7 linked regions of the Cricetulus griseus genome follow. The protein of the gene in region 2 purifies or fractionates together with the protein of the main gene of each other region. This does not show direct contact. Links are inferred from orthologs where the notes say so. Each region holds a gene or a part of one and is shown on either strand. Other genes may lie near its edges. The genes, in order: Eef1a1, Eftud2, Cd2bp2, Prpf3, Znhit2, pre-mRNA-processing factor 6 and Phb.

Region 1 (4,116 bases), on a different chromosome or scaffold from region 2:
GAAACAGTTATGAGCACTTGTTCATACAGCATTTCATATCCAAACAATACTCAGTGCAACAGAAACTTAAGTTCTACTTACCCAGTGGAGGATAGTCAGAGAAGCTCTCAACACACATGGGCTTGCCAGGAACCATATCAACGATGGCTGCATCACCAGATTTCAAGAATTTAGGGCCATCTTCCAGCTTCTTACCAGAACGGCGATCAATCTTCTCCTTAAGCTCAGCAAACTTGCATGCTATGTGAGCTGTGTGACAATCCAGTACAGGAGCATAGCCAGCACTAATTTGGCCTGGATGGTTCAGGATAATCACCTGAAAGAAACAGCATTTGGTTAAATCTTGCCTTCAGGTTTTGCATGCTGCTATCAATATTACACTCTTGACACCTATCTTGTTTACCTGAGCAGTGAAGCCGGCTGCTTCCATTGGTGGGTCATTTTTGCTGTCACCAGCAACGTTGCCACGTCTGACATCTTTGACAGACACGTTCTTTACATTGAAGCCCACATTGTCTCCAGGAAGAGCTTCACTCAAAGCTTCATGGTGCATTTCAACAGACTTTACTTCTGTTGTAACGTTGACTGGAGCAAAGGTAACCACCATTCCAGGTTTTAAAACACCAGTCTCTACTCGGCCCACAGGAACAGTCCCAATACCTAAAAACATTTACAGTATATAAGGTGAAGACAACTGAACACACCTCAAAACATCTTAGTCCAGTGTCCGAATGCTCTACTTACCACCAATTTTATAGACATCCTGGAGGGGCAGTCGCAGTGGCTTGTCAGTGGGACGAGTTGGTGGCAGGATACAATCCAAAGCTTCCAGCAGTGTGGTACCACTGGCACTGCCATCTTTACGGGTGACTTTCCATCCCTTGAACCAAGGCATCTGAAATGCAGAGTAGCCAAATGTTTTATAATCTCTCCCCCCTTACAGCTTTTCCATTTAACCACCTTCTTCAAGTCACTTACATTAGCACTAGGCTCCAGCATGTTGTCACCATTCCAACCAGAAATTGGCACAAATGCTACTGTGTCAGGGTTGTAGCCAATTTTCTTAATGTAGGTGCTGACTTCCTTCACAATTTCCTCGTATCTCTTCTGGCTGTAAGGTGGCTCGGTGGAATCCATTTTGTTAACACCAACAATTAGCTGTTTCACACCCAGGGTGTAAGCCAGAAGGGCATGCTCACGGGTCTGCCCATTCTTGGAGATACCAGCCTCAAATTCACCAACACCAGCAGCAACAATCAGGACAGCACAGTCAGCCTAAGAAAAAGTTACCTCCCGTTAATAACAAAGCTTTCCAGCTGGAGGTAAGGGTCAGAAGGTAGTAAATTTCACAAACCTGAGAAGTGCCAGTAATCATGTTTTTAATAAAGTCTCTGTGTCCTGGGGCATCAATGATGGTCACATAGTATTTGCTGGTCTCAAATTTCCACAGGGAGATGTCAATAGTGATACCACGCTCACGCTCAGCTTTCAGTTTGTCCAAGACCCAGGCATACTTGAAGGAGCCTTTTCCCATCTGTTCAGTGATTCGCAGTTAGTACACTCAAAACATCTAGTTTCTAAATAAACAATTTCCTGCTTACGGTAGATTTCCACCCCCCCCGACCTTTTCCCTTCGAATACTTGCCTCGGCAGCCTCCTTCTCAAACTTTTCGATGGTTCGTTTGTCGATTCCACCACATTTGTAGATCAGGTGGCCGGTTGTGGTGGACTTGCCTGAATCTACGTGTCCAATGACAACGATGTTGATATGAGTCTTTTCCTTTCCCATGTTGGATTTGAATTAGCGGTGGTTTTCACAACACCTTAAAAAAAAAGTTCGAAGAATACCTTTGAACGGCTAAGCAGCTTTGTCAATCAGCTTCGCTCCAAACTCAAAATGGGCAAATTCCAAGAATTACTTCCATGGCCAGGCTGGCCTGGCTACAGTCTCCACCCACCAAATGTGAGCAAACTCCAACGCCATTAGACAGATCCCCTCCCCCAGCGGAGGCCAGCGGTGCTCCGAAAGAGCGCCCGGGGTGACTGAAGTGCGGCCGGTACACCACGGGGTCACAGGAAGCAGCGGCCGGCGAGGGGCAAGGCCCTCTTCCTTTGTGTGGGTGACTCACCCGCCCCGCTCCGCCGGGCTGCCGCGTCCTCCATTTTGAGCTCCTTGCTACAGGGCCCGGGAGCGGCCATCTTTCCGCGCACGCAACTGGTGCCGGGCGGGCGGGCCTCGCCCTCCTCGGAGCTAAGCCACTACGGGGTACTGGCCAGACCGGGCCGGGACCCGGGGCCACCTGAACCCGGCATCTAAAACCCACCGCCCGGCCGCCTTATCAGGACACAGGCCGCTACCCGTCCAGGCGGCGTCGGACATGTGCTGCGGGACGGGCGGGCCCGGTCCCCCCCCCGACTGCTGCCGCTCTCCCTGCCCGACATGCGGACTACGGGGCTCCCTACCAGCCAGCTCCACGCCCTCCCTTTGTTGGCCCGGGCCGCGGGCAGGCAATCGAGGGCAGCCGGGCAGACAGCAAAGCGCGGCCGCGGTGGCACGCGGCGGGGCGGAAGCCACGCTAGGCCTCACGCCCGACACGAGGCGAGGCTCCGGGGCCGCCGCCAGGCCTCCCCCCCTCGCCCTCCCGCACAGCCCGCCATCCAGGGCGGGAACGCTCGCAGAGAAGCCCGGCCGACGACACCCGCACGGCGGCCCGACCCCGCTCAAAGGAGGGAGCCCGGGCCCGCGGAGGCCACACCCGCCACTCACCTGCGTTCTGACGGCAAACCCGTTGCGAAAAAGAACGTCCAACGCGACTACCGCACTTTTATACCGTTCTCCCCCACCCTCGGGAAGAGGGCGGAGCCAGCACACGACACCACTTTCCCAGTTTGCCCCGCGCTGGCTCCCGGGCCCCCGCTCAGCGCGCCCCTCCCCCACCGCCGGGGACTGTGGGCTTGTGCTCTCCCGCCGACCCGCGATCCGCCCTAGGCGCAGGCTCCTCCCGCCGCGCTGGGCGGGCACAGCGGTTCCGGGCTGGGAGGCCGGCCAGAATTTAGCGACGGTCCCTGGGATTCCCAGGGGCGAAGGCGATCCCTCCTTTTGTATGAATTACTCTCGGCTCCAGTCGGGGGTGGGGCGGTGAGGAGCTGGCCAAGAGGGCGTCCAGAATCTGTCCCTACCCTTCCTGACTCCACTGCCAAGGCTGTGTCGAGATCCGGGTGTCCCTTCCCGTGGAGGCCACCTCCCGACGTCAGCCCCGCCATCCCCCTGCTTGTCCCCCGCGGGAGAGGTGCACAATCCTAGGGACCCTTCCCAGCCCCAGAACCTAAGGGCTCAGCTCGGTGGCCGAGAGCTCGACGGATCTGCCCCTGTGCTGGCCTCTTGGTTCATTCCATCCAGCGCCAGCTGCTTCTCTGGAAGCCTGAAGCGCGCTTCACGCCCTGGGAGTTCCGTTCAGAATAATACTTAAGTCCCACAGTTAGCTTTACTTCTGATTCTGGGCTTCTTAAGCTAAAAAAGGATTTTGTGTGTGCGCGCATTGTGTGTGTGTGTGTGTGTGTGTGTATTTGGGTACAGTTATTTGATAGAGCACGAGGAACATGAAAAGAATCTAATCAACTCCACGTGGTCTCATTTAGAGGCCAGCATTAGCAATCTTACTCGCCCAGAGCCCATCCCTGACACTTGTGAAATCAGAGCTTCTCAAAAATGGCTCGTCCTATTATTTAAATGCTTGTCATTCCTACAGTTCCAAGGATCATAACTGCGTTTTGCTGTGGTTCTGATTGTGTGGCTGTTTTGTTTTTGAGACAGTCTCTTTAGCCCTGGGTGCCCTGAAACTCACTAGGTAGACCAGGCTGACCTCAAACTCACAGAGATCCGCCCTGCCTCTGCCTCCTGCGTGCTGGGATTAAAGGCGTGCGCCACCATGCCGGCCCTAGCCTGTTTTCTTTTCTTTTTTTTCTTTTTTTTTTTTTTTTTTTTTGGCCCTGGCCAGTTTTAAATGCCTCTCCGGGCAGGATCTCAGAAGAAAGAAAAACTTCTTTGTTGTTTTGTTTCTTAATGCTAGGGACGGTGAAAAGGTATTTTGTAATGGAATATGGGGTTGTGGAGAT
Region 2 (3,500 bases):
AGCCTTACTCTGGTTTTTATAACCTTTTATTTCCTGAGGGAGGTCTTCCCAAGAAAGGTTTCATCTTTCATTGAAAAATAATCTTGTGGCTTCTGTGTTAATCCTTTGCTGTCCCATAATCCTCTTTGTTTTCCTCTTCTTCCCTTCATGCCTGAATTACATGGTGTGTTGGGGGCTTTGGAAAGGGGGCATAGATTTTCCTCTGTAATTGGCAGGTCTCACCCATCTCTTCTCTTTCAGACGTGTTTTGTAGATTGCTTGATAGAACAGACTCATCCGGAAATCAGAAAACGCTATGACCAAGATGTGAGTGGAACTTGGGCCGAGCTGTTTGGGGTGGAGGGGATGCCTCACTCCTTCCCTTCCTTCACCCTGCACTCATAACCAGTGTGTGCAGACTGCTGCTGTGTGATTATACTTTATTAATAGGTGTAAGCACATCATTTCGACTTTCTCAGGAGCACAGAGAATATTAACCTGCAGTTATTTTAGATGAACTGTTTCGCATTTGGGATCCCGCCTCAGTGATGTATCCTGACTTTTATAGTCTCTTCTTTCCTGTCGTTTTATTAATAGCCTGTTCTATAAATATCATACAATTGGACCTTGTTGTTTTCATGGTAAATTTAAATGCCTGTGAACAAGGCCAACAGTGGCGGCTAGTCTCAGTGCAATAAATGTTCAGACTCTGTCAGATTGACTGTTGTGACATGTGAGACTTGACTGTTGGAACGAATCTCCCTTTTCCACTCTTTCAGATCCAGTGCAGTGCGTCTAGCTTATGTCTCCAGCCATGCATGGTCTTTAGTGACCGCTCACCCTACTCCCACCCCTGCACACATGCAAGAACATTTTCTGTCTTGAGGGGCACTGGCCTCACTGTCAGGAATTACTGTGGGAACAGCCTGCTGTCTTCAGTAGGGTTTCCCCTTGGGAAGCCCCTTGAGTTGGGAGGAGGTGAGGGAAGGTGATTGATGGAAGTCTGAATTCGGGTTGTAACAGCACTGAATTTTTTTCAGCTGTGCTATACTGACATCCTCTTCACAGAGCAAGAGGTAAGGTGCCTTGGGAAATTAGATTTTGCTTACAAAGGCCCACCACCATAGTTTTGTAGAGAATGTGGGGGGAGGACTCCCATAGCACTCCCATTTAGCCTTGCCCAACAGTTCTGCAGCTCTCAGTCACCCCATAACGAGAACTGGGAGGGCCAGCTGGAGCACAGGTGGGGAGCCTTCCAGTCCTTGAGTAGATTTAATTTTGCCTAATAAGACATACTGAGAGATGGTGTCCAAATTTGCAAAACTCTACATGATCTTTACAACATCCTGACAATCCCTAAGATGCCTACTGTGTGCATCTCCTTCCTGGAGAGGCTTCTCTGTGGACAGCTTGTGGGACCATTGTGATTCTTTCCTTCTGGGTTTCCCTTCCTCCTCATCACCTCTTCTCTTCCCCTCCTTTTTTTTTTTTTTTTTTTTTTTTTTTTTTTTTTTTTTATCTATCCTCTTTTCCCTCTTCAAAGCAAGTTCCAGGACAGCCAGGGCTATTCGTTACACAGAGAAACCCTGTCTAGAACCACCCCCCACCCCACCCCCCCAAAAAAGGAATTAAACTTGTTACAAGGAGAGACATCATTGTAGTTAACCAGCAATTGGCAAACCCCAAGAGCTGGGTGAATTCTTCTGTACGGGAAGAAGCCTTGACCAGTGTCTACCTTTCAGAGAGGTGTTGGCATCAAGAGCACTCCGGTGACGGTGGTGCTGCCGGATACCAAAGGGAAGTCTTACCTCTTCAACATCATGGACACACCAGGTGGGACAGCCAGGGCCCTTCGCTGTCACATCCTGTCTCATTTCCTGTTGTGTTCCTTTCCCAAAGCAATACAGAGTGGGACATCTTGACTTTGTACTCTCTTCACCTTTGTTGAGTTTTCTTTTCAAGGATTCCCACTTTGACAAATTACCAAGCATGATCCCTATCCTTTGATTTCACTTCTGTTTTTACTTTTCTATGGAATTTTCAATTTTAGGGATCCTGTGTGTTGATTGATTTTAGTTTATGTCAGACCCCATCTGACATAAATCAACCTCATCGCAGGCCTTCAGCATGCTCAGTCTTCTAGAAAGCGGGCAGTGAGCACCAGGGTGCAGTGAGCCTTGCTGCTGGCTCGCTCTTTTATGGAAAGGGCTGACTTAACACAAAGTTGTTTTATTTAACATGTGGGCAATTTGGAGTTTAGCAGATTTGCCTTCAGGACACCGTCTTGTGCCAGGGCCTGATACTCTCAAGCCCCTGCTCACCCTGTCCCCCAATAGCACCATGCTCTGGGCCTTTCCCTGCCTCCAGAGAGTCATAGCTCTTGCAGAACTCTGTTGATTGCTGATCAAACTAAGTTGGTGTGTCAGCTGCTTTACCTTCTCTGTGTGGAGACCTGTGTGTGAAACCTTAATCCCAGGTTGAGACTCTAATGGGAGAAATGGATACGCTGCAAGGTGCTGTGGACTGAGGAGGAATATTTGGGTTCACAGACTTTGCAGTGCTCCTCAGGTCATCCTGCAGGTTAACTGCCTCATACCCCTAAGTGATGACTGGATATTTGCTTTTCAGGACACGTGAATTTTTCTGATGAGGTCACAGCTGGCTTGCGAATCTCAGATGGGGTGGTCCTTTTCATTGATGCTGCTGAGGGGGTAAGTTAGTCCCCTGTTACTATGCCCCTACATATCACTCAAATTGCCATGTGAGCTAGGAGGCAGCAAACATGAAGGTCTGTGTGATAAATCTCAGGTTTGCTCTAAATTTAGGGAAGCAAGTGATGCTCAAAATTAGAGATGGGAGTTGAAATTCTTTTATATTTCTAAACTGAAAAAATTGGGTAATGCCACTAACTTTATATAGTCACCAGTGTCACCAGCAGAGGGAGTCAGAGGCACCTTTTTAAAAACCTCAAGCTCAGTTAAACACAGGTACAATCTGCTCACTGTTAACTGTTCATGATGTTTCTCTGTACCCAGAGATGTGCTCTCCTATGTATAAAAGTATTCACAGACCTTTGCTTTCTTTCTGTTGTGTTTTGTAATGAGATGAGATCTTACTCGGCCTGGCTCTGTTTGTTAAGGCACTTGGTGCCAGCCTGGTGACAGGAGTTCAGTCTTGAACCCACACATGATAGAAGCAGAGAACCGGCTTCCAAAAGTTGTCCTCTGACCTCCACACCACCACATTATGTAAACACTTCCACATACATAAAAATAAGTAAATAAATGTGATTTTTAAAGTTAAAAAGAGGCAGGGGTGGCACATGCCTTTAATCCTCGCACTCAGGAAGCAGAGGCAGGTGGATCTCTGAGTTCCAGGCTAGCCTGGTCTACAGAAGTTCCAGGACAGCAGGAACTACACAGAGAAACTCTTGTCTTGAGGGAAAAAATAAAAAGAAGAAGAAATCTCATTATGTAGCCCAGGTTGACCTGGAACTCAGAGATCTGCCTGCCTCTGCCTCC
Region 3 (3,952 bases), on a different chromosome or scaffold from region 2:
TAAGTTCATGCTTCACCTAAGAGCTATGGGAGCTACTGCAAGGGAAGGAAAAATCAGACTAGGGAGAAGAGGAGAACCCATGTTTAAGAGGCCTCCTGAGTGTTCTCAATAGGATCTCAAACTTTTCCAAATGTCCCAGCTGCAAAGGGGTTACTAGGCCAGAGAATCTGAGGTCCTAAAAGCTGAAGATCAGCAAAACAAGGACTTGCAGGGGAGATAGGAGAATAGAGTGATTGAAGGGAATTTGACATGGCAAGTCACAGGACACCTGACGGGCCCTACTACTGCCACCAAGGGCGGAAAACAAACCGAGGTGGTCCAAGACACCAGAGAGAAGCATCTAAGGAAGGAGGAGACACTCAAGGGCCAGGTAAGCCAACAGGAGCTACGGAGGAGCCCTGGCTTCTGGCTACCAGCACATCAAGGCCCTGATGCACACTCAAGGCTTTTATTGGGAAAGGGAAAGTGGCTGAAGAGTAGCTTCCAAGATCCTCACTGCCCAGGGCAGCTGGGGCCTCCTCTGCCAAGTCCAAGAAAAAGGGGCTACCACACTGGGCCCTTAGCAGGTTCACGTGTAGAGATCAAAATCAATGCGCTTGGAATTGTAGAACTGACCACCTGGAGGGTCCAGCTTCCGGCAATAAACACCATCCGGGAAGTAGCCTTCAGTCACCCAGGTCTGTAAGAAGAGAGGACAAAACTTAGGAAAGATGACAGAAGTCGGGATGGACAGACAAGACAGGAGGAAGCCACTGACCTGCATCTGGGCACTGGTGAATGGTCCATACAGCTCAGCATCCCCCGTGTTCTCCCACTTATATTCCCACATCACATCCATTAGACCATCTCCCGCTGACTCTGCTTCTAAGACAACAAAGACGTATCGGCCTTAAGTGCCCAGTCTCCCACTGGCATTGCCTCTCCTGTGTCCTAAAAGCTTACCTCCTTTATGCGCAGGGGTCGGGGTTTCCAGTTCTCCCTCTGTCACTTCGTCAGCAAACATGTCCAGGGAGGGTGGAGGTGTGGGGTCATGGGATCCCTGAGTCCGACACCCCAAACCCTTCAGACACATAGCCAATCGTTCCCTTGTTTCCTGGTATACACCAAGGTTGCCTCGAGCCACCATTTGATCAGCCAACCCAGAGAGCCGGTCTAGGCGCTGTGGGGAATTGGGCCGTCCAGTCCCCTTGCTGTCCCCTTTGCCTCCTCCTCGGGCCCCCAAACGCCTAAGTGCCCCAGCCACTGTCTCTCTTGGCAACAGCAGCTCCAAAAGTCCCTCCAGGAGGGCTTGGGCACTCATCGGAGTCTGACCCAGGCTGTCTTCCTCCTCTGAGTCTGAAACCTGGTGCTTATCAGGTGGCCGCTCCTTGATCTTCACCTATAAGGGAAAGATAATTATTATTTCCTACAAACTTCCACCAGGGCCCAGGCCCAGCACCTGCATTCCCAGGCCTCAGCCAGGACAGCTCCTGGGCCACACCCAGTCAATGTTGTCCAGCCAGCTGTCTCGGATCTGTGCATCCTGGTTCAGGAAGTAGTTGCCATCAGCATCAAAGTGGCCTTCCTCCATCTCTTCCTGCAGGTTGAAGGGTGTGATCCTCACACCCCCCTCACTAGGGAGAGTAGCTGCTTCCTGACCTGCACCAAAGACATGGGGGCCCCATGCTAGGCATGCAAAAAAGAGACAGGCACACTTCCCACCTCCATAATCAGACTTGCCCTCCAACACAGCTAATGTTTTGGGAATAACTCACCTTCTACATCCTCTGAGGCCAGGATATCATACTTGCTGGACCCTTCATCATCATCATCCTCCTCATCACTGTCTAAAGAGTGTTTGCCTTTGAAGCGGCTCCCAGGACCCCCTGCTCCAGCCACAGGGTCCACCAGCTGTGAGTAGAAACCAGCAAATGAGAAAGGCAACCTACTGGCGAGCTTCCCAAATATTCCAGGATCTGTATCCAAACTGAAAACCTACCAAACCCAGCGCACCGGGGCAAACTAACCCTTTCTTTCGCTTCTCAGCTTTCCTTCCTTTTATTTCTCCTCAGTCCTCCACAGACATTAGGAGTCTGACCATCTCACCTTCTTTTTGGGGACACTGATTTCATCTTCATCATCCTCATCTCCCACACCTTGAAAAGTCACTTTCCTCTTTGGCATGACTGGCAGAACACTTCCTCCAGCTGGACCTCGGAAAAGGATACGGAGTAAGAAAATTAGGTAAGGAGAGCCGGCCGCGAGAGCGCTGTGGCACCACATTTTCCTTGGTAAGCGCCAGGTCCCGTTTGAGCGAGGAAGGGTCACTGAACCATCTCAAGCGCTAGCAGGCGGGTCGTCGGGAATTGGTTTGGCAATTCATTCAGAGGCCCTGACGGGCGGATCTCCGCCCCCGCGCGGACCCTGTGCGTACTCCCACGCAGGAAAAAAAGCCAGGCTCCCCTACGTCACCACTCCCCTACCAGTGCGGAGCTACAGGGCTCCCCCAGCTCCCACCCGAGTGCCCACAGAGGCCGGTCGGACCCAAGAGCTGGCGCCCTGGTTGCTTAGGACCCCCAGTTCCACGCAGCGAGCTGCTAGACCATGTCAGAGTCGGCGCACAAATTAGAGAGGAAGCAAATTCGCAGGGATTCGAACAGTCTTACCGGCTGGCGCTCACCGAGGAGCCCGGGGTCAGGCGGGGAAAGAAAGGAAAGATGCTTTCGCCAGTATTACATCCGGGGCACTCGCCTCCATAACCCGGAAGGAGACTGTGGAGACCTCCATAAGGCCGGAAGCTGCTTCACTCCCATCCAAAAGACTGTCGGAACGGGCGGATGTGTACATTTGGTCAAGACAGTCTCCGCAGGAAGTGACGTAAGACCCCAAAAGACTCGCGTGAACTCCTATACCAGCCCCAGCCTTACTTAGCTTGAGGATGGCGGCAAGTGTTTGTTATTCCTCTGAAATGGAGACTCAGGTGAGGACGTGACGCTCTGTCTGCTTAAAGAGGTGCTGAAGGCCGGGCGGTGGTGGCGCACGCCTTTAATCCCAGCACTCGGGAGACAGAGGCAGGCAGATCTCTGTGAGTTCGAAACCAGCCTGGTCTACAGAGCTAGTTCCAGGACAGCCTCCAAAGTCACAAAGAGAAACCTTGCCTCAAAAACCAAAAAAAAAAAGAGGTTCCCAAGTCCTGGATGGAGGGACAAAGGCCGAGCAGAAGCTGTGGGCTCCAGTCTGACTCTCTATATAGGGCTCTTTGCGCCCAACGGAATTCAATAGAAACCCTGCTTTCCAAGCTTGACACAGTCCCAGCGCTCGGGAAATAAGCAGGACTGATTGTCGCGAGATTGAGGCCAATCGGGGATACAACGTGAGATGTCTCTTTAAAAAAAAAAAAAAAAATTCTTGCTTTTCCTGAGTCCTGTTTCTGGCTGTCAATACTTAGGCACTTTCCAAATCTAGCTCCTTTTAGGACCCAGCCCCATGTCTGTTCCCATTCAATTCCTTCTTTCTGCAGGGGAACTATAACAGGAAGTAGCATTGGCATCCGAGCAGTACCCAGCCAGAAGCCCATAATGCCCTACTCTGGGGTACATCCAGTTGCAAGGTGAAGTCTACCCCACCCCTCAGCAAAATGCTAAGGTGATGGAATCCCGCTCCTGCAGAGGTGGAGCCAGGTGAGATCTTCCTGTCTAGTGAAGTCTAGATCTGGAGCTCTTGAGAACAACTCAAAGCCAGAACACCTCCCCCCCAGGCTAGATAGCTCAGGTGATCCTGCAAGAGCTGGATGAGGGCGGCCAGATGGACCACACCTTTCTCTTGCAGGATTTTCTCCATTCTGAATCACCATGAAACTTGGAATTGTGTCCTCAGTTTCTTCCACGGGCACAGAACACAGGTCCTAGCCCAGGAGGGCATCTTGCTACAGAATGCCTGAAACACCAGCTCTGGGCACTATGGTGCATCCCAG
Region 4 (2,557 bases), on a different chromosome or scaffold from region 2:
TAAGAGCACTGTCTGCTTTTGTGGCAGACCCAGGTTCAATTCCAACACCTACATGTCAGCTCACAGCTGTCTTAATTCCAGTGCTGTCTACTGTCCTCCTTGGGCGTGCAGCATGTAGTGACATGAATAGTCAAAACATAAAATTACAGCCGGCTGTTGGTGGCTCACACCTTTAATCCCAGCACTCGGGAGGCAGAGACAGGCGGATCTGTTTGAGTTCGAGGCCAGCCTGGTCTCCAGAGCGAGTACCAGGATAGGCTCCAAAGCTATACAGAGAAACCCTGTCTCTAAAAACAAAACAAAAAAAAGTATTTTATCATTCATCTCATAATTGCTTAATATCACCTTCTGATTTACTTGCTTCAGAAAACTGTACTTATCATTGTGCTTCAGGATGAGGTCAGATATTTAAAGACTTCAACTGCTGGGATCCTAGGTAAAAAGAATATCACCCACAGAACTAAACCCTAATACCTATTGCTATATGAAAAACATCACACTAAGTTTAAAAATAACTCTTTAATCATATGCACATACAGGATGAAGGGTAGCACCAGGCTGACTGGGTAAACAAGGTAGTCTCTTTGCCCCAATGACTGCCTGGCACAGTTCTGAGATCACACTCGCAAGGGGGGACAGGTTGGAAAGTAGAGTGAGAAGGCAGAGGAAAAAAAGGCCAAGGAGACACAGGGCTAGCAGTAGTCTCAGTCAGTAGACTCCAACACAGATTCACTTAGTGCAAGGTCCCAGTAGTGTTCAGCCCCATGCTTTTTGAAATGCTCACGAGCCATGTTCTCTGTAGGGCACTGTTTAAACTTCATCTCTCCAAAGCTCCGGTCTTTGGCCGTACCCTAGGTAAGAAGAAAAAACTTTGTTTACTTACTTGAAAGCAATAACTTGTTATTAGGCCACATTGCCCTTGAATTACAAATCCTACCTCAGCATCCTAATACACCATCATGCTGAGGAGAGACAAGAATTTTAGTAAGCTTTCTAACTATCCCCCAATTCCAGTGTTGGGAATTGAACTTAGAGACTTACTCATGTTAGGAAAGCACTCCACCACTTCAACTTACTTAAACAAGACATAGTTTTTTGTTTTTTTTTTCTTTGAAACATATTTTCTCTGTGTAGCCTTGGCTGTCCTGGAACTTGTAGACCAGGCATGCCTTGAACTTAGAGATTTTCCCTGCCTTTGCCCCTGGGCACTGGGATTCCGGGATTCAAGGTGTACTGACATAATATTCTTTTGAGAGACCTGATAACATGTGTGTAGCAAAATGACTCACTGACATGATTCTCTGATAATTATAACCCCATCTTATAGATATTTGCATGATTAGACATATGGATTTCTGGTTTTTTTTGTTATTGTTACTGTTTTTAGAACCAGAACTAAAACATCCCCCCCCCCCCCCGTGAGTATTAAGGATTGAACTGGTGTTGTCAGTCATATACTGAGTCTATACTGAGTAATATTACTAGCCTTCAGCACTCTTTCCCAGCAGGAGGTTGTAAGCACCCCCAATGTGAGTGTAGGGAGTTGGATTTGGGCCTGTTTTAATTCATTCTCAATCACACCAACAAATCAGGGAGACTGAATAACACCCATATTTAATAGATAAGGCAAAGGAATCTGTCTGACTCAGATCGAATAGCTGACTGACACTCTGTCAGCAACCTATTTGTTTTGCTGCAGAGCTGAGGGTCAAACTCTGGATTCCAATGAATATTAGAGAAGCACTCTTGTCACTGAGCTACACTCCCAGGCTACACACCCATCCACCATCAGATTCTTAGATCTAGCCCTATGTTTTACTACACCCAGAGGGGGAAAATAAAATTTACTCCCCTCTCACATTCAGGCTTGGAAATATGTAATTTCCAATTGAGAATTTGTATTCTTAACATCAGCACTTTTTAAAACATTTCCAGTTGGTATGTACTACAAATTGCTCTAAATATTCCAGCTAACTTTCTATTTCAGCATTTTATAAAGATTACCAACCTCCCATACTAGTACACATTTGTTAGTTTTCTTCACAGCTTCTTCATCAGATTCCTCATCATCTGGAAAAGACAGAAGAGCTCAATCTTTCTTTTGTTTGTTGAGACAGATTTCACTATATAGACCAGGCTGGCCTCCAACTGACAGAGATCACCTACATCTGCCTCTCAAGTACTGGGATTAAAGGAGAGTGCCAACACCACCTGGCTCTGTTCTTTTTTTTTTTTAATTTTATTTTTTTTTGGTTTTTAAGACAGGGTTTTTCTGTGTAACTGTCATGGCTGTCCTGGAACTCACTCTGTAGACCATGCTGGAACTCAATGGGATTAAAGAAGAGTACCACCACCACCTGGCTTTTTTTTTCTTTTTCTAAAAGATAGGGTGTCTAACTCTGTAGCTTTAGCAGGTCTTCAATTTGAGACCATCCTCCTGATGCAGTCTACTGAGTGCTGGGATTACAAGCTTCAACAGTCATGCCTTACTAAACATCTTTTCTTTCTTCACCACTCCATCCCCACCCCACAGCCCAATGCCCAGGGCATTAAACAT
Region 5 (3,388 bases), on a different chromosome or scaffold from region 2:
CATGTGGGGTGAAGGGCCTGCACCCCATTCTACTTGGCAGGGATGACCAGCCTCAGAGTCTGACGCAAGAAGAGGGAACCACTGCTCCCATATGAAAATACTTTTCCCTGCTGGATAAATGTTTTCAATCTTGTTTTTCTTCTATTCTGGGGTCAGTGATTTGGGGGAGAGAGGTAGAGAACTAGCTGACTAGGGAAGCTGTACTAGGGAAGTGGTTTGTGTGTCCAGGGTAGCTTCGTGGAACAACTGGTTTCTCTCAGAAATGGGCACTTCAGGCCTGGGGGATGTAGTTGTTATATAGAATGCTTGCTTAGCATTCAAGAAGCCTTTGACCTTCAGCACTGCATAAATTAGCAAGGTGACTTAACACTTGTAATCCCAGCACTGTCAAGGTAGAGGCAGGCTCGGCTCAGAAGTTCAAGGTCATCAGCTACACAGTGACTTCAAGGAAAGTCTAGGATAGGGTACTGTCTTTGAAGAAAATAAAGGTACTGCCAACATTTGGACAGACCAGTGACAGCTTTATTAATACCACACACCCAGCTCAGCCAGGGAGCTCCTCAATGAGAGTCCTTGGAGCAGGTGGTACCGGGCCTCCCCAAAGCCGCTCCAGCTCCCCAGTAAGGGTTGCCATCTCCTCGGCTGTGACAGCATGGGCTCGGTGGACCCTGGCACAGTCTAGAGCCAGTGGTGTGAGAGCAACCTCATTTTCGTTGGTCCAGGCTAGGAGGAACTGGCACTTCTTCCGAGCCCGGTAAAGGCGATTTCGTTCTTCGCTAACCACAGCCTGTTTCCGGGCTCGGCCCAGGGTTTGGGCCAGGTGCCCCAGTGCTGTCAGCGTGTAGCCTTTCTGGTTGATAGGACCCTCGCCCAGCAGAATACGAGCAACCTCTTGCATAGCACCCCGCGTACCCAAGGGCCCAGGTGGGTGTTCACCCGCTTCCAGCACGTGGGCTGCGGCCTGCAGGGCTTCCTCCGTAGAGTCAAAGACTTGCTGGGCGCCCAGGGCTCCAGAAACATCGAGCAGTGTGGCACAGAAATCAGAGAGTAGAGCGTCGTCGTCCCCTCCATGATACAGGGCGAGAGTGTGAGCGTAGGCGAACAGCACATTGGGCAGCTGGAATCGCACGAGTGGCGAGGGCGGGCAGCGGCTCAGGCTGGCCAGCGCTGGGATACGGGAGGGCACTGCGGGCGGCACGGCGGCATTTGAGTCTTCAGCAAGAGGCACCGCGGCGGCATCATCCACAGATTCGGGCGCGGTGCTCTCTGGGGCGGTCTCCGGCTCCGAAAGATCCCTGCCCGGGGCACGATCCAACTCCTCCATAAATCGCGGGCCACCCCCGCGGCCCCACCACCAGGGTCTCCACGGGGGCAGAAGGCGTCCAGCATCGCCACGGCTCAGCAGCCGCTCGAACGCCGCCTTCTCAGCCGGTGACAAGCTTTCCCAGAGTCCAGAAAGGCCGTTCGGCCGCGGGCCGGGCCTGAGGCCTATTTCCTCGGGCTCATCCTCGGTCTCCCGTTGTTCGCGTAGCCGGCGTAGTGCTCCCGCCAGACGGCTGGGAGAGGCACTCCGGCCGCGGAGCTCTCGCAGCACCTGGTCGCGGTAGAAGTCTTCGGCGCAGGAGCCATGCGCCCGGTAGCAGCGCAGCGAGCAGTAGGGCGCGTTGCAGCGCGGGCAGGTGTAGCGCGCCGGCAAAGCTTCCCCGCCTGGGCAGAAGCCGCAGAGCCCTACGGGCTCCATGGCAACTGGCGCCGCGTGTCGGGCACCACACAGCAGACGTAGCTCCGCCACTTCCGGTGCTTCTTCGGTTATTTCCGCCTTTGTGCGTGGGGCGACGTACCTTCTCGGTAACTTCCGTCTCTAGAGTAGCCTTTTGAGCATGCGCAGAACACGCCCAAGGTCTAACCAACACGGTGGCTCTCGAGAGTTAGAAGATTAATGTCGCTGATCCCAGCTTGTTCCCTGTGGTTTTACCAAATTGTGCAAAAATAAACTACCTTTTAAGCAAAACCAACCAACAAAAAAAATCCAGAATCTTAGGGGTGTAGCGACACACGCCTTTAATTTAATCCCCGCACCAGGTCCCCAGAGGCAGGGCGATTTCTGAGTTTCAGGTCTACCCAGTGAGTTCCAGAATAGTCAGAGCTACAGTAAGACCCTGTCTTGAAAATACCCCCAAAATAATAAAAACCCTACAAGAACCAAATCATAAACCAGGCATGACAAAGAATCTGAAGAGCAGGTTCCAGGACAGCCTCCGAAGCCACAGAGAAGCCCCGAAGATACTTAACATATCAATATAACAAACTGGGGCAGCCCAACCTCCAAGTTGGATTGAAATTCAATTCCTAGTATTTGTTTTGTGCCACCCATCCCCACCCAACCCCTGACTGCCACCAGAGGTTTGTGTAGCCTTGGCTTTCCTAGAACTAGCGCTGTAAACCAGGCTAGGCTAGCCTCTTCCTCTCAGAACTGGGATTAATGGTATGTGCCACTATGCATGGATCGCAAACTACATAGTTTCATACTTTTCCTCTACAAAGAACCTGAGTTGGGAATTTGACCCTTAAGCACTGCTCAGGCCAAGTGTGGTAGTCTACACAGCATGTGGTAGTCTAGTAACATTTGGGAGGCTGGGAAAGGAATATTAAGAGTCCAAAACTAGCCTGGGCTTAATAAAAACCATTTGCCTCCAAATCCCTGGTACACTCCTGAATGCTGTCCTAACAAGAATGTGGGAATACCCACACCCACTATAGTAAAAAGCTAATGGCTAAACAATGAGTCTGAGACAGTCACTATTCAGAGTCTACAATGGGTTAGACACTGGTTGCAGCGCATTTTACAGTTTGACCAGTATCTCTCACAAAGCTTAAATGGAATGGAGTGTCCAACTATTCTTTGGCCTTACTCCTTGGTGCATTCCAAGATGCAATGGGATCTGGGTGTAGTGGAAGCCTGGTGCTAAGGGTGGAACCATTTAATCAGCTTCTCAGTCACAGTTGTGATCAAGTTCAGCCAGACAAGATCAGGATGCCAGTGCAATCAGACAATTCCAATGCCGAGGGACCCGATGCTCCTTGTGTTTTGAACTTTTTTTTTTTAAGATTTTATTTATTATGTATAAAACATTCTGCTTCCATGTATATCTGCACACCAAAAGAGGGCACCAAATCTCATAAGGTTTGGTTGTGAGCCACCATGTGGTTGCTGGGAATTGAACTCATGACCTCTGGAAGAGCAGTCAGTGCTCTTAACCTCTGAGCCATCTCTCCAGCCCGTGTTTTGAACTTTTATTGATAGTACAGCTGGTCCCAAATTCAGTAAAAACCGATTCACCTTCTAACCAAGGCCTCCCCTCCCTTTAATCATTGCCTCTCCAAAACA
Region 6 (3,500 bases), on a different chromosome or scaffold from region 2:
CCTCTGCCTCTGCCTCTGCCTCCCGAGTGCTGTGATTAAAGGCGTGCGCCACCAACGCCCGGCTCCAAACTAGTTCTTATAACTTAAAGTAACCCATATCTTTAATCTACATTCTTTTATGTGGCTCAGTTACCTTTACTCTGTACTGCCCATCCTGCTTCTTTTGTGTCTGGCTGGTGACTCTGCCTTTCTTCTTCTCCCGAGACCTCTATGTCCCCAGAAGTCCCTCCTAACATGTTTTCCTGCTTAGCTATTGGCCATTCCGTTCTTTATTAAACCAATCAGAAGGTGCTTTAGCAAAGACACATCTTCTCAGTGTATAAAACGATTATTTCATAACATTGGAAAGACATTTTTTTTTTTTGTTTTGTTTTCTTTTTCTTTTTCTTTTTCGAGACAGGGTTTCTCTGTATTGCTTTGGAGCCTGTCCTGGAACTCACTCTGTAGACCAGGCTGGCTTCGAACTCAGATCTGCCTGCCTCTGTCTCCTGAGTGCTGGGATTAAAGGTGTATGCCACCAACACCTGGCTGGAAAGACATTTTTATTATATATGTCTACTTGAGTTTTTTTCCTGGGACTTTTGGGATCTCTTTGCGTCTTCGTTACTTTTCTATTGGTGTTATAAAACGCCATGACCCTGGCAACCTATAAAAGAAAGCATTTAATTTGGCTTGTGATTTCAGAGTGTGTAATATGCTTTCTTTTGGGCCATCAACCAGCTCCCAAATCATGATGTGAAGACTGGTTTTTATGATTGCTTGGCTTTATTTTAGCTCTGTTTTTATCTGTTTCTCTTTATCTACATTTTACCTTTCATTCTGTATATCTTACTTTCCTGTTTCCTCTTTGTCTGTCTGTCTGGCAGCTGCCTGACTTCTGGACCTGGGCATTCCCCTCTCTTTCTCCCTTGTTCTCTCCTCCTCTTGAGCTTAGATTTCTCCTCCTACATATTCTCTCTGCCTGACAGCACTGCCTGTCCCTCTTCTGTCTGGTTATTGGCTGTTCAGCTTTTTATTAGACCAATCAGGAGCCTTAGGCAGGCAAGGTGAAACAGCAACACATCTTTACATAATTAAACAAATACACCATAACAAAAGTAATACATCTTTGCCTACTTAAAGTAATGTTCCACAACATAAATAAATGTAACACATCTTTACATAGTTAAAGTAACTATTCCATATCAAGAGTGTTAAGAGCAGCCAGGCGGTGGTGGCGCATGCCTTTAGTCCCAGCACTCAGGAGGCAGAGGCAGGTGGATCTCTGTGAGTTCGAGACCAGCTTGGACTAGTTCCAGGACAGCCTCCAAAGCCACAGAGAAACCCTGTCTCAAAAAAGAGTGTTAAGTGTCCATGATGGTGGAGTGAAGGAACAGCTTAGAGCTCAAATTCTTGATCCACAACCACATGCCAGAGAGAGAGGCACACTGAGAATGGTACAAGTCTTTTTTGTTTTTTTGTTTTTCAAGATGGTTTCCTCTGTTATGTAGCTTTGGCTGTCCTGGAACTTGCTCTGTAGACCAGGCTGACCTCGAACTCTGCTTGCCTCTGCTTCCCAAGTGCTGGAATTAAAGGCATATGCCACCATTGTCTTATTGGCACAAGTCTTTTGAAACCTCAAAGCCCACCTCCAGTGGCCTGCCAACAAAACCATACCCCCTAATTCTCTCCAAATAGTTTCACCCACTGGGGACCAGCTATTCACACATGAGTCTATGGAAGCCATTCTTCTTCAATCCTATACCTCCCCCCAAATATTAATCCTTGTAGAAGATTTCTACACTTTCCCCATAGAAGACATTTTCCTAACCACCGACCGTTGTCTGAGTTACAATAAGATTGTTTTCCTCCTGGCTGCTTATTCTTGGACACATTTGTTAGGAAGGTCTCCAGGGTCCTTGTTAATTAATTCTTTGTTGTAGACACTGATGGTCATGTCTAGCTGATGTTCACTTTTACCTATCTCACAGGTGTCTGACTCAGTGAGTGGGCAAACTGTTGTGGACCCCAAAGGCTATCTGACAGATCTAAATTCTATGATCCCAACCCACGGAGGGGACATAAAGTGAGTATGTTGCAGAATTGGTCTGTTGAAATGGGAGCTCTAATTGCTTAGTATGTTGTGGAATTTAAAAAAAAGAAATACGCAGTCAAAATATGACATGGACTTTCTGAGAATTATAGGAATATATTTTTACTCATTTGCTGTGTGTGTGTGTTAAATATTTTACAAATAATATCTTAAGGTCAGTGCCTGTGATGAGCTTAGAAAGCTGCTTGTTAATTGTCTCATGTTTCCTGATTCTTAGCAATTTATGCCTTGTGTCTGAAGGGGGTGCCTTCTCCCTGGTTCTTGTCACATCTCTAGTAGTGTGGCCTAATTTTTTTGTGCCTTCTCATTGTTACAGTGACATTAAGAAGGCACGGCTACTTCTCAAATCTGTTAGAGAAACAAACCCTCATCACCCACCAGCTTGGATTGCATCAGCTCGCCTGGAAGAAGTCACTGGAAAGCTACAAGTGGCTCGGAATCTTATTATGAAGGGGACAGAGATGTGCCCCAAGGTGAAGCCTATAGCATATTTCTCTTAACAGCTACATGATTTCTGGCTTCCAGAAAATCCTTTGTGTTCTGCCAGGCGTGGTATACTGGAGAAATGGAGCAAGAGCAAGGTTGTAAATAGAGGGAAAGGAGTTTCTTGCTTGTTTTTATATGGAACAGAGACTGACCCACCATTGTAATGGCAGGGTAAGCTTCACTGAAAGTGATAAACTGAGCAGCTTGTTACATCACATAATAAAAGAAACCTAGAGGTTGAAGCAGGAGATGCCTCAGCAGTTGAAAGCACTGGCTGCTTTTCTAGAAGACCTGAGTTTGATTTCCAGCAGCTACATGGCAGCTCACAACTGTCTATAACTCTAGTTCCAGGGGATCTGATGCCCTATTCTAGATATGAATGCAGGCAAAACACCTATATACATGAAATAAAAATAAGTAAATTGGAAAAAAAAACTTACAGGTTAGTGCTAGCTCTTAATATATTCCAGCACTTGTGTTTTGGGAGGTGGGATGATTAGACAAGATTAAAAAGTACTATGAAACCAAGTAAACGTCAAATGCTCTACTGTATGGACTAGATATTCCTGAGAGTGAAAGAAACCCTTTGTGGAATTCTCCGAACGTTATGCATAAATCAGAACTTCCCAGGCAGACATAGGGTCTTTGCTTTTTCCAAAGACTTTGCCTACTGTAAATTGTATTTTTGTTTGTTTGTTTTTGTTTGTGAAGGATTATGTTTGTCTTTCATCCTGACATGGTAGCCACATTTCTGAGCTGTGTAATTACCGGGTGAACTCTCATAAGTATGTATTTATGGCCACGTTGATGATCCTTACAAAATTTGGGGGCCCCAGAGTAACCTATGTCTTCCTTATGGTTTCCAGGCTGTTCTTACTGCTTTTTTTTTGTCCCAGAGTGAAGATGTCTGGCTAGAAGCAGC
Region 7 (4,249 bases), about 6.4 Mb from region 2:
ACTATGTAGCTCTGGCTGTCCTGGAACTCACTATGTAGACCAACCTAACCTCAAACTCTGCCTCTGCCTCAGAGTGCTGGTAAGGTAAACACCACTATGGCCAGTTTACCCAGCATCTTTCTAATAGCTGTTTCTCTAACTTTTGGAGGGGGTCCAACAACATGTCCTGTGGACTCAGAGAGAAATTTTAAAATGCTGACTAGTCTAGCTGTATAGATGAAGCTACACAAACTATGACATCAAGTTATAACTCATGAGCCAAGCAGATCCCTCCCTTTCGTCTTTGACTTTTTCAGACAAGGTCTCACTATGTAGCCCAGGTGGGCCTGGAACTCAAGATCCTTATACCTCAGCCTCACGAGTACTGGGGTCACAGGAGTCTGCCACCAGAACCTGGCTAAAGTAGCTACTTTGCCTCTTTTCATATTTGAATTGAGAATTGGCCTAAAAACTTACAGTCTGATAATAATACTCATTCAAAAGTCATATAGGCAGAAGCAAGAAGTTCAGGAGTTCAAGGACAAACGTGGCTACAGGAGACATAGTCTTAAAAAACAAATCAGCAGGATGCAGCTCTGAGTTGCTTAAGCCACTATACTGCATTTGAGCTGGGTACAGAGGAGCACACTTTTAATCCCAGCACTCAGGAGGCAGGGGCAGGTGGATCTCTGTGAGTTCTAGACCACCTTAATCTACATAGAGTTCCAGGCCAGTCAAGAGCTACATGGTAAGATTCTGTCTCAAAAAAAAAAAAAAGCAACAAACCATACAGAAAGTATATAAAATTTGTTGGAATTCTGAAAGAGTATCAAAGTTGGAGGGAATCTTAAGAGAACTAGTTCAGTCCCATTGTTTGACCAATGTAAAAGCAGAGGACTAGGAGGAGGGACTTGCCTATAAGGCAATATAATACAAAGAAAACCCAGTAATGCATCTCAAAAAATTACTTTCTCTGCAACTAGCTGAGCAAAACCTTCTTTCTCAGGACAAGGTCTCTCAAGCTGAGAGAATTTGCCAAATTATTTCACCCCACATGCAGCAGAAGATAACCAATGAGATCCTGCTGGGCTGCTCTGCAGAGGCATCTGGGTAACAGAGCATCACTTCAAACTGGCTAAAGTTCTAGAAACATCCAGCCAGCAACTGGACAGGAAGGCTCCTCTTGAGCAAAGGATCTAAGTCATCAGCTCTCAACCTGAGCCCTGGGGGGCGGGGTTGACTCTTTCACAGGGTTCACCCAAGACTATCAGAAAATACAGATTTTTACATATTCTGTTACACTATTAAGTAGTAGATTCATAATAGCCAAATTGCAGTTATGAAGTAGTAACAAATTTAATTTTATGGTTGGGGGTCATCACAACATGAGGAAAGCGTATTAAAGGGTCACAGCACTAGGAAGGTTGAGAACCACTGCCTACATGAAGGCCGGGCCTCTGATTACACACAACCATAGTTTGTGGGGTAACAGCAGGTGAGCCCACTTCACCACACACACCTTCAGACAGAGCTAGCCGTTAGGAATTTCAATTGGCTGTGCAGATCAACAGAAAGCACCACCCGCTCACCATTATATAAGGCAGAGTTCACCACGCCTCCTGCAACTGCTAAAGCCAGGCCGAACTTTCCGATGGACTCAAACACTTTGGCAGCCATAATTCCTTCTGTTGCACCCACTCACACCTAAACAAGGGGTAAAAATAAAACAACTTGACACGAAATCCTCGGAGAAAGCCCTCTCTGGGGCACAGCATTCACTTTTCACGATAAATCTTCATGGATCTACTCCTGTGAGCTCTAACTTAACTCACCGAACACCCCGTGACACTCAACATCTTGCAAATGTAGTATCTCGTTTGCTTTTGTAGGCGTCTGGGACACTTGGCTCATCGTAGGAACGATGTGTCGTACCCACAGAGAACTTAGTACCACAGTAAACCACACTCCCATTTCCTAGCCAAATAGGCCACAAGAGACTGTGTATGGCTGGCTCTGTGCATTTGGTTTTGGAAAAGCCAGTAATGTACTACAAGGGTTATGCCAACAACGAAAAGGACAATTCCTGTTAACATTTAAGTTAGGCAGCCTCCAACGGTTTTATTTAACCTTCAGTTTCTTTATGAAAAGCATTACTGGTGAGGTGCATGGAGAGGGTACACTATTCGTATGGAACCAGGGTTGGAATGAGGAGACTGAATTCTAGAAGGCATTGTAAAACTCCTCCCCATACCTGTTAATCGGAAAGCGGGAGCTGGCAGGGGTGCAGTGAGGCAGGGCAGCGAAGGCCTGGAGGTGGGGCTGCGGCGGCGGGTGGGTGGGTGGGAGCACGTAGCTGACAGACTAGAAACCACTCAGCCTTGAACTTTTTCATGCCCCGCCCCTGCGTCGCCCTCGGTGCACTCTTCAAATCCTCCCTCCCTTTCCCCAGAACTCAACTGAGAGTCTATCCCGTTTTCTCCGCGCACATTTACCCTCCACCCCTGACACTAAGACACCCAGTCCTTTCTATTTTCTACTGGCTTCTGGATTTTTCCTTATCCCGCCCCCTCCCCTTGCACAACCCATGGATCGTTCTGGACTCAGCCTTTCCCCCCTTCTCCGTTAGGCGTACCCTCACGTGCATTCCATGACCCCCACCGCACCCAGGAGAGCAAAGGAGGATTACAGGGACACACAAACAGCGGCCTGCACCACCCCTTCCACGCTCACCCGCTTTCACGCTGACCTCCACATGAATTCCCCAGACTCGCATACTGCGCGTGCGCCAGGCAGCTCCTCCCTTTCCCCCGCCCTCTTCAAGATCCGTCCCTTCAATTGGTGGAGCGGAGCGCAACGCATCCTGGGAAGCGTGGTTTGCAGTCTTCCGCGGGCCCTGTTGCTTTCCTGAGGTCAACTACAACTCCCAAAAGGTTATGCAGCAGCGGGCCTGAGCAGGAAACCTGCTTCCGTTTGGTGGCAACTGATGATGGGATGTTGCCGCAAAGCCTTTCGGGGGTTGCAGTTCCTTGGTAATAAGTGCACGTGCGTAGTTCGTAACGAGGTGATTGCTGTTAGAAGAGAGGTACGGGCTGGATCTGAGAGGAGCTGGGCTTCCACCTGGTGGCGGAAGTAACTGGGTGGGCGTTTTGGAAAAAGGTGAGGTGGGATAACTGATGGGCTGGGAAACTCCTAGGGAAGCTAAGGACGGCCTCAGGGGCGTGAGACTTGGATCTCCAGAACCGCTTCGGGACCTTAGAAACGGCTTAGAAAGAAGAGACTCATTCAGGTCTTGCACTACTCCAGCAAAAGGACTTGACTTAGGGTCTAACTCTCCTGTCTCCACCTTTTAAAAGTTGTACTTGAGAAATTGAAAGAATGGGACGGAGAACATGTACATGTATACCTATTAAGCTCACCTGTTGTCAAGACGCATTTGTTGTTACTTTTGTTGTCCCTCTCTCTTCCCAGCACTTTCTTCTCCCTGTGCTCCCCTCTTCTCTCTCCTACTGCTCTCTAAATACAAGGACACCCTCTTACTTGAGTAAATGTAATCCACGTCTGTACTCCGATTTTGTCAATTGAGCAAATAGCGACTTTTATAGAATTCCTCTCCACGCTTCGATAAAATCTGAAATGAAGTGCTGTGTTTATTTCCCATGGACATGTTGCTGTGTAAATACACAACTCTTAAGAGAATATGTGTATATACACACAAACATAAAAGACATGAAACAAGCTGGGCATGGTGGCATGTGCCTTTAATCCCAGCACTCAGGAGGCAGAGGCAGGCAGAAATGGAGGAGGATTATTTGGCTGGAAGGAAGAGACTGCATTACACCTATTCAATAAACACTCATTGAGTACTTACTGAAAACAAACGTCTTTCTAGCCCCATTTTTACATCTCCAATTGGAAATAGCAAAATGGAGTTTAAAAAAATACATTTATGGAGTTGGAGAGATGGCTCAGGGGTTAAGAGCACTGGCTGCTTTTCCAAAGCTCTTGGGTTCAATTCCCAGCACCTACATGGCAGCCCACAGCTGTCTATAACTCCAGTTTGGGGGGTCTAACGCCTTCTTTGGCCTCTGGAGGTACCAGGCACGTAAGTAGTACACAGACATGCATGCAAGCAAAACACCTATGTCCATAAAATAAAAATGCAGACATTGATTTATTGATTTGAGTGTGCATATGTGTGTGGCCACAGTGTACCTGTGGAGGTCAGAAGATAACCTACAGGAGTTGGTTCTCTCCTTCCACTGTGTGAGTT

The links.
Region 1: the proteins of Eftud2 (region 2) and Eef1a1 fractionate together in Homo sapiens (co-fractionation; 4 studies listed by BioGRID, with this or other methods). This does not show direct contact. The link is inferred for Cricetulus griseus from reciprocal best matches to the Homo sapiens genes EFTUD2 and EEF1A1.
Region 3: the proteins of Eftud2 (region 2) and Cd2bp2 purify together in Homo sapiens (affinity purification with mass spectrometry; 7 studies listed by BioGRID and IntAct, counting the BioPlex papers as one, with this or other methods). This does not show direct contact. The link is inferred for Cricetulus griseus from reciprocal best matches to the Homo sapiens genes EFTUD2 and CD2BP2.
Region 4: the proteins of Eftud2 (region 2) and Prpf3 purify together in Homo sapiens (affinity purification with mass spectrometry; 3 studies listed by BioGRID and IntAct, with this or other methods). This does not show direct contact. The link is inferred for Cricetulus griseus from reciprocal best matches to the Homo sapiens genes EFTUD2 and PRPF3.
Region 5: the proteins of Eftud2 (region 2) and Znhit2 purify together in Homo sapiens (affinity purification with mass spectrometry; 4 studies listed by BioGRID and IntAct, with this or other methods). This does not show direct contact. The link is inferred for Cricetulus griseus from reciprocal best matches to the Homo sapiens genes EFTUD2 and ZNHIT2.
Region 6: the proteins of Eftud2 (region 2) and pre-mRNA-processing factor 6 purify together in Homo sapiens (affinity purification with mass spectrometry; 6 studies listed by BioGRID and IntAct, with this or other methods). This does not show direct contact. The link is inferred for Cricetulus griseus from reciprocal best matches to the Homo sapiens genes EFTUD2 and PRPF6.
Region 7: the proteins of Eftud2 (region 2) and Phb purify together in Homo sapiens (affinity purification with mass spectrometry; 3 studies listed by BioGRID, with this or other methods). This does not show direct contact. The link is inferred for Cricetulus griseus from reciprocal best matches to the Homo sapiens genes EFTUD2 and PHB1.

The regions. Positions count from the first base shown.
Region 1 is NC_048597.1:189,545,580-189,549,695, forward strand, and holds the start of Eef1a1 (elongation factor 1-alpha 1), read right to left. Parts: upstream 2,801-4,116; 5' UTR 2,768-2,800; intron 1,824-2,767; 5' UTR 1,790-1,823; coding exon 1,646-1,789; intron 1,535-1,645; coding exon 1,355-1,534; intron 1,276-1,354; coding exon 979-1,275; intron 896-978; coding exon 745-895; intron 661-744; coding exon 404-660; intron 317-403; coding exon 82-316; intron 1-81. UniProt on the Homo sapiens protein: Translation elongation factor that catalyzes the GTP-dependent binding of aminoacyl-tRNA (aa-tRNA) to the A-site of ribosomes during the elongation phase of protein synthesis.
Region 2 is NC_048600.1:115,257,214-115,260,713, forward strand, and holds part of Eftud2 (116 kDa U5 small nuclear ribonucleoprotein component), read left to right. Parts: intron 1-240; coding exon 241-306; intron 307-1,019; coding exon 1,020-1,055; intron 1,056-1,721; coding exon 1,722-1,812; intron 1,813-2,607; coding exon 2,608-2,690; intron 2,691-3,500. UniProt on the Homo sapiens protein: Required for pre-mRNA splicing as component of the spliceosome, including pre-catalytic, catalytic and post-catalytic spliceosomal complexes. Component of the U5 snRNP and the U4/U6-U5 tri-snRNP complex, a building block of the spliceosome.
Region 3 is NC_048596.1:73,578,484-73,582,435, reverse strand, and holds the start of Cd2bp2 (CD2 antigen cytoplasmic tail-binding protein 2), read right to left. Parts: upstream 2,801-3,952; 5' UTR 2,646-2,800; intron 2,193-2,645; exon of another isoform or gene 2,187-2,192; 5' UTR 2,164-2,186; coding exon 2,086-2,163; intron 1,891-2,085; coding exon 1,755-1,890; intron 1,639-1,754; coding exon 1,481-1,638; intron 1,379-1,480; coding exon 943-1,378; intron 865-942; coding exon 758-864; intron 680-757; coding exon 569-679; 3' UTR 1-568. UniProt on the Homo sapiens protein: Involved in pre-mRNA splicing as component of the U5 snRNP complex that is involved in spliceosome assembly.
Region 4 is NW_023276806.1:60,675,367-60,677,923, reverse strand, and holds the end of Prpf3 (U4/U6 small nuclear ribonucleoprotein Prp3), read right to left. Parts: intron 2,071-2,557; coding exon 2,009-2,070; intron 852-2,008; coding exon 705-851; 3' UTR 501-704; downstream 1-500. UniProt on the Homo sapiens protein: Plays a role in pre-mRNA splicing as component of the U4/U6-U5 tri-snRNP complex that is involved in spliceosome assembly, and as component of the precatalytic spliceosome (spliceosome B complex).
Region 5 is NC_048596.1:53,289,625-53,293,012, forward strand, and holds Znhit2 (zinc finger HIT domain-containing protein 2), read right to left. Parts: upstream 1,978-3,388; 5' UTR 1,742-1,977; coding exon 545-1,741; 3' UTR 501-544; downstream 1-500. UniProt on the Homo sapiens protein: May act as a bridging factor mediating the interaction between the R2TP/Prefoldin-like (R2TP/PFDL) complex and U5 small nuclear ribonucleoprotein (U5 snRNP).
Region 6 is NC_048599.1:292,795-296,294, reverse strand, and holds part of pre-mRNA-processing factor 6, read left to right. Parts: intron 1-1,970; coding exon 1,971-2,065; intron 2,066-2,408; coding exon 2,409-2,565; intron 2,566-3,474; coding exon 3,475-3,500. UniProt on the Homo sapiens protein: Involved in pre-mRNA splicing as component of the U4/U6-U5 tri-snRNP complex, one of the building blocks of the spliceosome.
Region 7 is NC_048600.1:108,826,563-108,830,811, reverse strand, and holds the start of Phb (prohibitin), read right to left. Parts: upstream 2,801-4,249; 5' UTR 2,710-2,800; exon of another isoform or gene 2,612-2,709; intron 2,305-2,611; exon of another isoform or gene 2,231-2,304; intron 1,684-2,230; 5' UTR 1,657-1,683; coding exon 1,569-1,656; intron 1-1,568.